3 linked regions of the Macaca mulatta genome follow. The protein of the gene in region 2 purifies or fractionates together with the protein of the main gene of each other region. This does not show direct contact. Links are inferred from orthologs where the notes say so. Each region holds a gene or a part of one and is shown on either strand. Other genes may lie near its edges. The genes, in order: USP46, DMWD and USP12.

Region 1 (4,196 bases), on a different chromosome or scaffold from region 2:
ATCAGGATGTATTTGGAAATAATATTTAGGTTGAAAGACTTAAGCAGGAATATTACTTCTTATGTGCACTGGAAAACACAGTGACATGACTCCCAAAACCTTCAGTCAACGAGTCTGTCTTACTGTTTCCTCCCCAGATCCTAGGGGGTATTAGCAATCAAGGGCTCTCAAATGTTTACTCTTGGTTAGATAAAATTTATCTTCAACTAATTTTTCTTCTGATTCAATTTGTCATTAAATATATTGATTTAAGAATTTATCACGCATCTCACTTGTACAACTTCTCCCATGAAAGCATCGAATTGCAACTTTGTATGTGTAACTGTTTCACACATTCAGAAACCGGCCCCTTCAATTCGCGTGGACCTATCTGCTAAGTGGTGCACAGACTCACCCTCTGAACCCACAGACACGACCTTTAATGCGGGAAATGTGCATGATCCCATACAGCGTCCATCTCAACAATTGGAGGCTGGGCATCCCTGAGAGGGGTATGCCTGCCTTGAAGATATGGAAAAGTTTTGTTTTCGTTCCTTCCGCTCCTTAGTGCTTGCGCGGAACCGGGACGTCTCCTTTGGACCCGCTAATGTTACAAGCCGCCCAAGCGCGCCGCTGCTGGCCTCCGCCCAGACCCGGATTCCTCTCGCCTCCTGGCGCCCTTTCTCGGGCGCCCGGCCCGCGGCTGGCGAGGGCTCTCTGACCGCTCCGGTGTCCTCGCCCCATTTTACTTCTTGGGTCCCCGCCGGTGCCATCTGGTTGGAACCCTCGGGAAGAACTAAAAGTTGGACGTTGCCACCCCTACCCCTCGCCAAAAACTAAACACCGGAGGCTGCCGAGGCGCTGCGGGAGGAAGGCGACAAGGAAAAAGCGAGGACGGAAGGCGGCCCCGGGTTCGCCCCGGCCCGGGCCTCCCGCCTCCCCACCCCGCACCCCGTGCCGTCCCCGGCTCCCTGGCTTCCCGACGGCGAGGAGGGCCGCTGCTTCCGCGTCGGAGTCGGCCAGGGGGACCTGCGGGGTGCGGCTGCCGCAGCGGCGCGCCCCGGAGCCTGGCCCGGCATTCCAGTCCGAATAGAGAGAGGCAGGGAATCAAATGGAAAAGCAGGAGGCCAGGCCGGGCGGGGAGGGAGGCGGCGCGGCGGGGCCCGGGAACCCAGCCCGGAGCGCTCGGAGCGGCCGGCTCGGACTCACGCGGCGCGCCCGGGCCGCCCCTCCTCCCCGCGCCGCCGGCCGCGGCCCAGGCTCCCTCGCTCCGCCACTCCCCGCCCCTCCGCGCTCCCTCCCCGCCCTCCCCGCGCCGCCGCCTCCTCCTCCCGGCCTCCCTCTCCCAGCCAAACTGAAAGCTGGACCCCAGGCCGCCGCGCCGCCGCCCGGCCTCCCCGCCAGCGCGCCACCATGGGCAGTCCCGGTTTCCCCTTGTAAAGATGGCGGTGAGGGATCGCTGCAACCTTTAGACTAATGACTGTCCGAAACATCGCCTCCATCTGTAATATGGTGAGTGGCCGAGCCGCCTCGGGGTCGCGCCCGACTCGCGGCGAGGCAAAGAAAGGGAAGCCCGAACTGCACCATTCGCCCGGCGGCTGGGGCGGCGGGGTCCGCGCCGCCAGAAGTTCCCGGCCGCCGAGCTGGGCGCGCGGTCGCAGCCCCCTCAGCGGCCGGGGAGGGTCCCCGAGCCCCCCGCGCCCGCCTCAGCCCCGGTACATCAGAGCCCGCCCGGCGATCCCGGGGCCCCGCTGCTGCGCCCCCGCCCTTGGGTTGCGGTGGAAGCGGCTTGAGGGAAGGGAAGCGACCGAACCTGAACGTCCCCAGGGAGGGGGTGGGGGATAAGGTGGAGGTGGGGGCACCCATCCTCTTCTTGCGGTCAAGTCGGCCTTGTTGGACGCCCAGACTGCCCTCATCTCATTTTGAGTTCAGTCCTTCAGCGGTGTTTAGAATTCACTTTGCAACACCAATTGTGTATATGGAGAAATTGGAAATGTAATAAAGCTGTAAAAAAGTGCAAAATTGTGGCTAGAGAAGTGAACTTCAGCCTGGTTTGAAAAAGCACCGTAATTTGCTCCGCATGCCTCAGTTTCCCCATCTGTGAAAAAGGGACAAGGCTCTGTAGAGGTAATATTTGCATGCCCTAAGGGTGGGGCCGGCTGTGGGCTTGGAGGAGGTCTCCAGGGTTATCCTACCTTATCCGCTGTAGACCTAGGGGAGGCTGGCGGGCATGGATACAGCCAGGGACATCACTGGGTTCTGATGCAGTCCGAGCCCATGACGCGGTGGTCACTTTAATTTGGGCTTCTCCCATTGCTTTCCCTTTTTCTGTAGGAAGAACCTCCAGCCCTTGGGTCCCCAGGGTCCCCAGGGTGGACCCTGCTGGCACCTCCACACGTCAGAGCCTTTGGGAGCTCAGACTGGAGTAAGGCATTGCTGTCCCTTGCAGGGTGAGATGATGTGTGCTTTGCTCCATTCTTTAGACTGCACCCCGCCCCCCTCCAGCCCCCTCCCAAACTGGTCCCCAGAGGCAACACGTGCTCTTACAGTGCCAGTTTGAGGAAAACCTCCCTAGAAGCTAGTAATACTGGCCCCTAAAGGGAATCCAAGGAAGCTTGATGGAGAAGCCCTGGTGTAAGGTGATCTGGCTGTCCTTCCCTCATCACATAGCTTTTTAAATCTTCTGTCCCACATTCTGTTGCAAGATCAACACATGGCAAAGGAGCATTAAGAAACCTTGTGTTAGCTCAGGGGTGGAATTGAGACCTGCTGGCTTCAGCTTTCAGCACAGTGGGACGTGCCACTGTCACGGCCAGCAGAGCAAATGCTGGGGCCTCCCAGAGTGATAGCTGCACAGGTATTGGTTGGTGCCGGGCGAATTCATACAGGGAGTGGATCCTGGAGCCTTTCTGTTTTCTCTTTTTTCATTTCTCTGCGAGGAGACAGGTTTACTCTTATTCCTGTGGAGGGGCTGCTTGTTATAGAGGTGATGCCTTCTCAGTTTCTCTCTCCTACGACCAGCTTCTGAGGGAACTGTGAATCAGGAGCAGCTTGAATACTCTTTCATGTCTGTTGGTGTGGCCGCAGGCCTAAGGATACTACAGGGTAGTTAGGCTCCGTCCCAGCCCTTGGTGGTGTTCTTGTCCAGCTTGTGTGTGGTTACACCTCTCTGTGTAGAAGCAGGCTGGAAACTTGAGAGCTAGCATGTCCCTAGAGGAAGCCAGCCCCCAACCTCCCCCCACCCGCCTCCCTCCCGCCCTCAGTGCTGTTGGGGCTTTCTGGCACACCTGGGCTGAATGTCACAATGTGTTTCAGTGAAACTCAGCTAGGGAGACAGGGTGTGGGGAGGACCTGAGAGGAGCAGGCCAATACTGCCCTGAGAGTTGACATCTCGGGTGGAGACCTAAAAAGGTACCAAATTTAGGACCATCACCCAGATGAAGTGAGGAACGAGTAATTTCATTAATTAAAGAGTCCGATGTGCCTATTTAGACGCTGTGTCTAGAGAGAGTGACAGAGTTTGGGTTCTAATGTCAGACTTTCTGGGTTCAGGTCCTGGTTCCTTTTTTTTTTTTTTTTTTTTGACAGGGTCTCACACTGTCACTCAGGCTGGAGTGCAGTGGCATGAACATGGTGGCTCACTACAGCCTCCACCTCCCAGGCTCAAGCGATTCTCCCACCTCTGCCTTCTGAGTAGCTGGGACTACAGGCACGTGCCACCATGCCTGGCTAATTTTTAAATTTTCCATAGAGACTGGGTCTCCCTTTGTTCCCCAAGGTGGTCCCTAATTCTTGGGCTCAAGAGGTCCTCCCACCTCAGCCTTCCGAAGCGCCAAATTACTGCTGTGAGCCACCATGCTCGGCAGGTCCTGGTTCTAACACATGTTGGCTTTGTGTCCTTGAACAAGTTGCCCAGTCTTAGACTTTCCTTATCTACCAAAAGGAGATGTTAATATTGTATTACTCGGGCATAGGGCCTGGTACATGGCTAGAACTCAGTGTCATTGTCAACATCATCTTTCTCATTGTTATGTCATCTACCAGGTGTTTAAAGGACAGTGGAGATCATGCCATTTCAGACCTGGTGGAAACAACCACTAATATAAACACCGCCCACGTTTAGGAAGGCTGGAGTGGGAATCCTTAACCCCGCCCCCTGCTCAGGTCACCCCCCCCCCCCGCCCCCACCGCCCCTGCCGCCCCTCCCAGTCTTCCTT
Region 2 (4,218 bases):
GTCTCGGCCTCCCAAAGTGCTGGGATTACAGGCTTGAGCCACCGCGCCCGGCCTCTTTTTTCTTTCTTTCTTTCTTTTTTTTTTAGAGAGACTGAGTCTGGCTCTGTCCCCCAGGCTGTAGTGTGGTGATGTGATCATAGCTCACTGCAGTCTTGATCTCCTGGGCTCAAGTGATCCTCCCACCTCAGCCACCTAAAGTGCTGGGATTCTGGGATTCCAGACGTGAGCCATTGTAGGATTTTTTTTTTTTTTTTTTTTTTTTTTAAGTGTGAGATGCCCTTGGGACACTCTAAGGAGAAATCGTAGAGGCCATTGACTACGTGAGACTAGGAAGATCTATGATGGGGCTGGGTGACTTCAGCAGACATGGGGAGCACTGGCTATGAGTAGGAGCTGTTGGGATCAGTGGGAGACTTTGGGTTACGAGTGGATCACTGGGACACTGGGGCACCGTGGGGATCAATAGAATTTGAGAATCAGAGGTGGGTTTTGGAGGACAAGTGAGGTTGTTGAAAATAAGAAAGTCGGGCCGGGCGCGGTGGCTCAAGCCTGTAATCCCAGCACTTTGGGAGGCCGAGACGGGCGGATCACGAGGTCAGGAGATCGAGACCATCCTGGCTAACACAGTGAAACCCCGTCTCTACTAAAAAATACAAAAAAAAAACTAGCCGGGCGAGGTGGCGGGCGCCTGTAGTCCCAGCTACTCGGGAAGCTGAGGCAGGAGAATGGCGTAGACCGGGGAGGCAGAGCTTGCAGTGAGCTGAGATCCGGCCACTGCACTCCAGCCTGGGCGACAGAGCGAGACTCCGTCTCCAAAAAAAAAAAAAAAGAAAGAAAATAAGAAAGTCATGGAAATATACATTGGAGGTTGGTGGAAAATATGAAGGATGTTTGGGGTTAGCATTAATCAATAGTGGGTCAGAGGAAGTCCTTTGAGTTGTGTGGGGACACAGGGATTTGGCGGGTCACCAAGGGTGGGGAAGAATGGTAGCAGATGCTGTGGTCATTCAGGGATTTGAATATGTCAGTGGGAAACATTGGCGGTCAGGGGAGTGTATGTTGGGCGTCTAAGGAGAGACCAGGGTCACTTGGGGTCGGCTGTGACTTCATGGGAAGGCTGGACTATGGATGAGGGCTTCTTTGGTGGGGGGGTCCCTCCGTTGCTAGGCAAACGGTTCCCAGGGCGCGGTTGCTAAGGACTTGAGCTTTCTAACTGGCCACGCCTCTTTCCATTGCGGGCTCCGCCCCCGCAGTCAACCACAAGTCGGTCACAGGCACAAAGACCGCGCCCACCTTCTCGCCCCGCCCACAGTCCCAGCACCGTTACCCGAGCGACCGTGGGGGTTCGTCCCGCCTCCGGACCTGGGTGCCAATCGAAGAGGCGTTGCCGGGGCGACGACTCCACCTTTTCCGGTGCGGGCCCGCGGCTTCCGGCAGGGGGCCCGGCTGCGGGCGGCAGTCCGGCAGCGGCGGGGCCCGGGGGGCGCCCAAGATGGCGGCGGGCGGCGCGGAGGGCGGCTCGGGCCCCGGCGCCGCCATGGGGGACTGCGCGGAGATTAAGTCCCAGTTCCGCACGCGCGAGGGTTTCTACAAGCTGCTCCCGGGCGACGGCGCCGCTCGCAGGTCGGGTCCGGCTTCCGCCCAGACCCCGGTGCCGCCCCAGCCGCCGCAGCCCCCGCCCGGCCCTGCCTCTGCCTCCGGTCCTGGCGCTGCAGGCCCTGCGTCGTCCCCGCCGCCCGCAGGCCCCGGGCCTGGGCCCGCGCTGCCCGCCGTGCGCCTCAGCCTCGTGCGCCTCGGGGAGCCCGACAGCGCCGGGGCCGGGGAGCCGCCCGCCACGCCCGCGGGGCTGGGCTCGGGGGGAGACCGCGTCTGTTTCAACTTGGGCCGTGAGCTCTATTTCTACCCAGGCTGCTGCCGCCGTGGGAGCCAACGGGTGAGCGGCCTGCATCGTGGGGCCCTGGGTGCTGAAAGGATGGACGTTCCAGAGAACTGATAGGAGGGTGCCTGAATTGATATAGGGCCCTGAGATAGGCATCCTAAATGTGATGGACGTCCTGGGGCAACAGCATTGGAGGGAGTACAAGATTCTGAAATGCGATGGGAGGCCCGCGGGGTGCTGGGCAGGCATCTTTGAGGTGATGGGGGAAATCCCCTTTACCCCCGTTATGCGTAGGGGTTCTGGGATGGCGAGTATTGGACATGATGGGGTATCTGAGATGAGGTGGGATCCCCCGGGTTCTGGGGTGGCAGGTATTCTGCAGGTAATGGGGAATCATGAGGTGATGCAAGCTCAGAGGTGATGGAGAACCCAGTATTGCATCCTGGAGGTGTTGGAGAGGGGCTTGAGATTGAGCCCAGGAATGTGGAGAAGTCTAGAAGTGATGGAGGCCTTGAAGGTAATAGGGGATCCAGAAGCTGAATGGGATCCTAGAGAAAATTGGGGTCTGGAGGTCATGAGGGTCCTGGAGGAGATAAGCGTCTGGAATCTGATGGGAGCTCTCAAGGGGATGAGAGGCTCTGGCAGGCGAATCTGCAAGTGTGATTCAGGGCATCTCTAAAGCGGTGTGGTGAGAACCTTGGGAAACTTATGGTGGCCCCAGAAATGATGAGGATCCTCAGAGCCCTGAGGTAGTAAATGGGCCTAAAATGTGGGAGACTATGAGTTTTGATGGGTCCCTGAACTGTGGCGGTTTAGGGATTCCAAAGTGAAGCGAATACTAGGATGTTAGGCTTTAGAGTCCTGGGAATTTGGGTGACCTTGAGGTTTGGGGGTCTTGGAATAGTGTGGTACTAGGTCCTAAGGGAGTTGCTGAGGTTATAGGGTGGAGTGGTGGGGCTAAAAGGAATCGGAGCTCAGGAACTGTGTGGCCCCAGAACCCTGAAGTTGTGGACAAGGGTGTTTCTGAATTAGGGGTGACCCAACTTGGGGGAGGCACTGTGGTCAAGGGGGATCCTTACTATCTTTTTTGCTACTCCATCTGTGATTTAGGTCCCCTTCCCGTCTGTGGTTGCCCCCTCTTTCCCAATCCACCTACTCACCTCCCCACTTCCCTCTGGGTTCTAACCCTGCTTCCTCTTAGTGGTTTCCCCCAACCTCAACATCCTTTTCCTTCCCCTCAGTGGCATACACCATTAACTCCTTTTCTCCCACCCCTCAAGTCCATTGACCTCAACAAGCCAATTGACAAGCGGATCTACAAGGGCACCCAGCCCACCTGCCACGATTTCAACCAGTTCACTGCTGCCACCGAGACCATCTCCCTGCTGGTGGGCTTCTCAGCGGGTCAGGTGCAGTACCTCGATCTCATCAAAAAGGACACCAGCAAGCTGTTCAATGAGGAGGTGATTGCAGCCCCCAGAACCCCCAACTGCTCTGCCTTCTCACCTACCCACTATATGCCATTAGGTTTCAGCTGCCTGGGGACCAGTGTAGGCCTGAGAGGGGCAGGACCAGGGAGAGATGAGAATGGGGTGACAGCAGCTAATGACAGCTGCACTGTACCCAGGCCCTATGCTGTGTTACCCCTGTGCTGAATACTTTACTCCTTGAGTTTTTTTTATTTATTTATTTATTTTATTTATTTTTTTGAGACGGAGTCTCACTCTGTCGCCCAGGCTGGAGTGCAGTGGCGTGATCTCCGCTCACTGCAAGCTCCGCCTCCTGGGTTCATGCCATTCTCCTGCCTCAGCCTCCCAAGTAGCTGGGACTACAGGCGCCCACCACCACGGCCAGCTAATTTTTTGTATTTTTAATAGAGACGGGGTTTCACCGTGTTAGCCAGGATGGTCTCAGTCTCCTGACCTCGTGATCCGCCTGCCTCGGCCTCCCAAAGTGCTGTTGTTACAGGCGTGAGCCACCATACCCGGTTTTTTTTTTTTTAATTGTAATTGTAATTTTTATTGTTTTTAATTTTTTTTCCTTTTTGAGGCAGAATCTTGCTCTGTCACCCAGGCTGGAGCACATTGGTACAATCTCTGCTCACTGCAACCTCTGCCTCCCCAGTTCAAGCAATTCCCCTGCCTCAGCCTCCTGAGTAGCTGGAATTATAGGTGCCCACCATCATACCTCGCTAATTTTTGTATTTTTGGTAGAGACTGGGTTTCATCATGTTAGCCAGACTGGTCTCAAACACCTGACCTCGTGATCCACCTGCCTCGCCCTCCGAAAGTGCTGGAATTACAGGCGTGAGCCACCGCGCCTGGCCACTCCTTGAGTTT
Region 3 (3,635 bases), on a different chromosome or scaffold from region 2:
AAAGCAGAAAGACTGCTTGAACCCAGGAGTTCAAGACCAGCCTGAGCAACACAGTAAGACCCGTCTCTACAAAAAATAAAAATTCAAAAATTAGCTGGGCATGGTGGCACGTGCTGGTGGCCCTTGCTACTTATGAGGCTTAGATGGAAGGATTGCTTGAGCCCAGGAAGTCAAGGCTACTGCACTCCAGCCTGGGTGTAACGATTTTCAAGCTTCATCTTTACAAAGTGTACAGCAAGTGGGGTATCTTCCCCTCCTTGAGGGACACTGTATGCTTTAGTTTTTAATTCCAACAATGGATACTAAAGGTAATTGTAGAAAAAGGAAAAACAAATTAGTATGCCTCCCTGATCGGTATGATCCTATGAGATTTTGTCCTAAGACATAATTTTCACAACATGGTCTGTGGCCTCCTAAACTGAAAGAAAATCAAACAGTTCAAGCTACGACATCTTTCTATCACCTCAGGTATTCATTGTCAATAAGCAACATTACATTAAGAATACAGATGGAGTCCTTTTAACTGAAAAACCCATCTTTAACTCCAATATTTAAGAATTACAACTTTCAAGTTCATCTTCCATTCTTCTCTTTCTCAAAGAACAACCTTTAACGTAATGATTCAATTTTTCTCTATACAAAATTGTATGATATACTTACAGTTTCACAAGTAAGACATCTGGTTTCATTAGTTAATGTTCCCTGAAAAATCTCATGAACCCACGTTGGGTCTGGTGTGCTGTTATTATTTTCATTGTCAATATTACCATTAGGTAAGCGACCATTTTGTTTTTCCTGCTTTCTCTCTTCTTGTAAAATATCAGCAATTGTATTTAGCAGGTAATTTAAGAATTCATGGGCATCTTGTTGCATGTAGTTGTCAAAAAGCTCTGAAAATAAAAACATAACATTAGATAATTATTTCAGAATTAAAACTTCATAAAAAAACCATTTATAAAAGAATATCTAGTATTGGGTCAAAACTAAAATATAAATGCACAAGGTTTTTGTAATGTATAACAAATAAATAACTTTCACATCTAAAACTTTTATCTGTATTTGGGGAAAATAAATGTAAAATTAATGAAAATCTTGTTTAAACATACTACTAATTGACCCATGAGAAAAGGGCAAAACCTATCCTCATAATTAGCAAAACAGATACTGAGAATTTAAGAAGAAATTGCTTATTAGCTTACCTAACCTATTATTCCACAAATATTTCAACGTGGCAAGCTTTAATGCAGAAATTGGACAACCATTTGCCAATGCCAAGCCAACTGCTTAAGACCCACCACAAAGTTTATTAAAAATAAATTACTGAACCGTACATCCCAGGGATTCTGATTCAGTTGGTAAGGGGTGAGGCCAGAACGTGGGGCTTTTCAAAGCTCCTCCAACTAACTCTAATGCAGAGTCAGGTTTAAGAATCATGTTATCAAGAATTATCTATGTAATCTAGGTAATCTCAAGTCCCTTCCAAATGTGAGATTTTGTAATTCCAAGAAACATTTCCTGCAGTTACACAAGTGAGTAAATATAATTGAAATACTGGTGGTGCTAACATCAAGTGCACTTTACCCTGTGCTTGGCAATACACCACTCTACCAAGAACAGTAAGTCCAACACCCACTTGCTGGGCACTTTGTAAAGATAAAGCCTGAAAATGGCTACACCCAGGCTGGAGCGCAGTGGCCCAGAAGTAAGGACTTCAGAGGCAGTATCTCATTGGATCCCCAACAACCATGTAATACTGTTACTAACTTTATTTTTAAACATGAAAATGGGACCAGAGAGGGTACAGTCACACTGCCAAGAAATGGCAGAGCCAGGATTCAAACTGGGCAGCCTGACTCCACCATGCCACACACAAAGTAATGCCCAGTGTGAGCCCACATACATGAATTGGTCAACAAAATGCATTGAGAAAACCTATCTATTTAGGACATTTTATTTTTAGATTCTCAATGTACATTTAATAAATTCCAGAAGAGTAATTTTACATTTTAAAATAGGTAATTTTACATTTTAAAAATGAATGCATACAAATTTAGAAAAAAATTTAGGGAAAGTCTAAGATAAAAGGAATTAACAACTACATTTTAGAAGAGATACAGATATGACTATATAAAATTAAGTTCTATGTATTAGAAATCTTTTAAAAAGTTAAAAAAAAGTGAAATCTGGAAATTATTAACATTTTCAACATATAAAAGCAAATCTCATATAAAAGAAAACCAAAGTGGGCAACAGACTTGCAATTGATTGATAAGAAAAAAACAATCAAAAGACTAAGAAACATGAGAAAATGTTCAATCCCATGGTAAATTAAAAAAAAAAAAAAAAAAAAAGCAGGCTGAGCTCACTGGCTCATGCCTGTAATCCCAGCACTTTGGGAGGCCAAGGCAGGTGATCACCTGAGGTAAAGAGTTTGAGACCAGCCTGAGCAACATGGTCTCTACTAAACACAAAAAATTCACTGGGCGTGGTGGCGCATGCCTGTAATCCCATCTACTTGGAAGGCTGAGGCAGAAGAATCTCTTGAACCTGGGAGGTGGAGGTTGCAGTGAGCCGAGACTGCGCCACTGCACTCCAGCCTGGGCAACAAGAGCAAAACTCCGTCTCAAAACAAAACAAAACAACACAACAACAACAAAAAATCCAGAATACCATTCTTTGCAAAGTTATTGTAAAAACAGAAAGGGAACGAGTGAAGCTATTTATGGGGGTGGGGGACACAGCTGCTAGAGCAAGGCTGTCTGGGTTGGTGCTATGGTTCTACCTCTAACTGCACGTGTGGCATAGGCAACTTATTCAACCTCCCTGTGCCATAATTCCTCATCTGAAAAATGGGGCTCACAGCAGTACCTACACCTCACAAGGCTGGTAGAAAGATTAGAAGGGCTTAGAATACAACAATAGGTTTTGTATTCTGTTCAACAACCACCACAGTAACAATATTGGCAGTATCACTACAGGTTGAGTATCCTTTATCCAAAATGCTTGGGAGCAGCAGTGGTTGGGACTTTAGACTGCTTCAAATTTGAAAACATTTGCATACACATAATGATATATTTTGGGGATGGGATTCAAGTCTAAACATGAAATTCATTTGTTTCATATACACCTTATAGTCTGGAGGTAACTTTATATAGTACTTTTTTTTTTTTTTTTGAAACGGAGTTTCACTCTTGTTGCCCCCGATGGAGTGCAACTTTATATAGTATTTTTAAAAACTTTGTGCAGGGAACTAAATTTGTGTACACTGAACTATGAGAAAGTAAAGTTGTTACTACCTCAGCCACCCATGTGGCATCCTGCAGCTCAAAAAGTTTCAGATTTCTGGATTACGGATGCTCAACCTACATTGTTGTTGCTACTGAATAAAATACAAAACACATCAAAGACTGACTACGTAAAAATTATGAACTTCTGTATGGCAAAGTCAACATAAATAAAGACAAGTGACAAACAAGGAGAATTATTTGCATATTAATATCCAGACTATGTAAAGGCTTAATATACAGAATATTAAAAAAAAAAAAACCCTTTACAAAACAAGAAAAGAAAAAACCAATTTAAAAAATAGGCAAAGGAAAATAATAGCCAATTCAGAGTAGAAATATAAATGCCTA

What was found.
Region 1: the proteins of DMWD (region 2) and USP46 purify together in Homo sapiens (affinity purification with mass spectrometry; 5 studies listed by BioGRID and IntAct, counting the BioPlex papers as one, with this or other methods). This does not show direct contact. The link is inferred for Macaca mulatta from reciprocal best matches to the Homo sapiens genes DMWD and USP46.
Region 3: the proteins of DMWD (region 2) and USP12 purify together in Homo sapiens (affinity purification with mass spectrometry; 3 studies listed by BioGRID and IntAct, with this or other methods). This does not show direct contact. The link is inferred for Macaca mulatta from reciprocal best matches to the Homo sapiens genes DMWD and USP12.

Annotation. Positions count from the first base shown.
Region 1 is NC_133410.1:80,841,722-80,845,917, forward strand, and holds the start of USP46 (ubiquitin carboxyl-terminal hydrolase 46), read left to right. Parts: upstream 1-1,361; 5' UTR 1,362-1,455; coding exon 1,456-1,491; exon of another isoform or gene 1,492-2,106; intron 2,107-2,313; exon of another isoform or gene 2,314-2,429; intron 2,430-4,023; exon of another isoform or gene 4,024-4,196. UniProt on the Homo sapiens protein: Deubiquitinating enzyme that plays a role in behavior, possibly by regulating GABA action. May act by mediating the deubiquitination of GAD1/GAD67.
Region 2 is NC_133424.1:58,341,003-58,345,220, reverse strand, and holds the start of DMWD (dystrophia myotonica WD repeat-containing protein), read left to right. Parts: upstream 1-1,403; 5' UTR 1,404-1,492; coding exon 1,493-1,933; intron 1,934-3,159; coding exon 3,160-3,342; intron 3,343-4,218. UniProt on the Homo sapiens protein: Regulator of the deubiquitinating USP12/DMWD/WDR48 complex. Functions as a cofactor that promotes USP12 enzymatic activity.
Region 3 is NC_133422.1:7,181,858-7,185,492, forward strand, and holds part of USP12 (ubiquitin carboxyl-terminal hydrolase 12), read right to left. Parts: intron 891-3,635; coding exon 661-890; intron 1-660. UniProt on the Homo sapiens protein: Deubiquitinating enzyme that plays various roles in the regulation of the immune response and inflammation.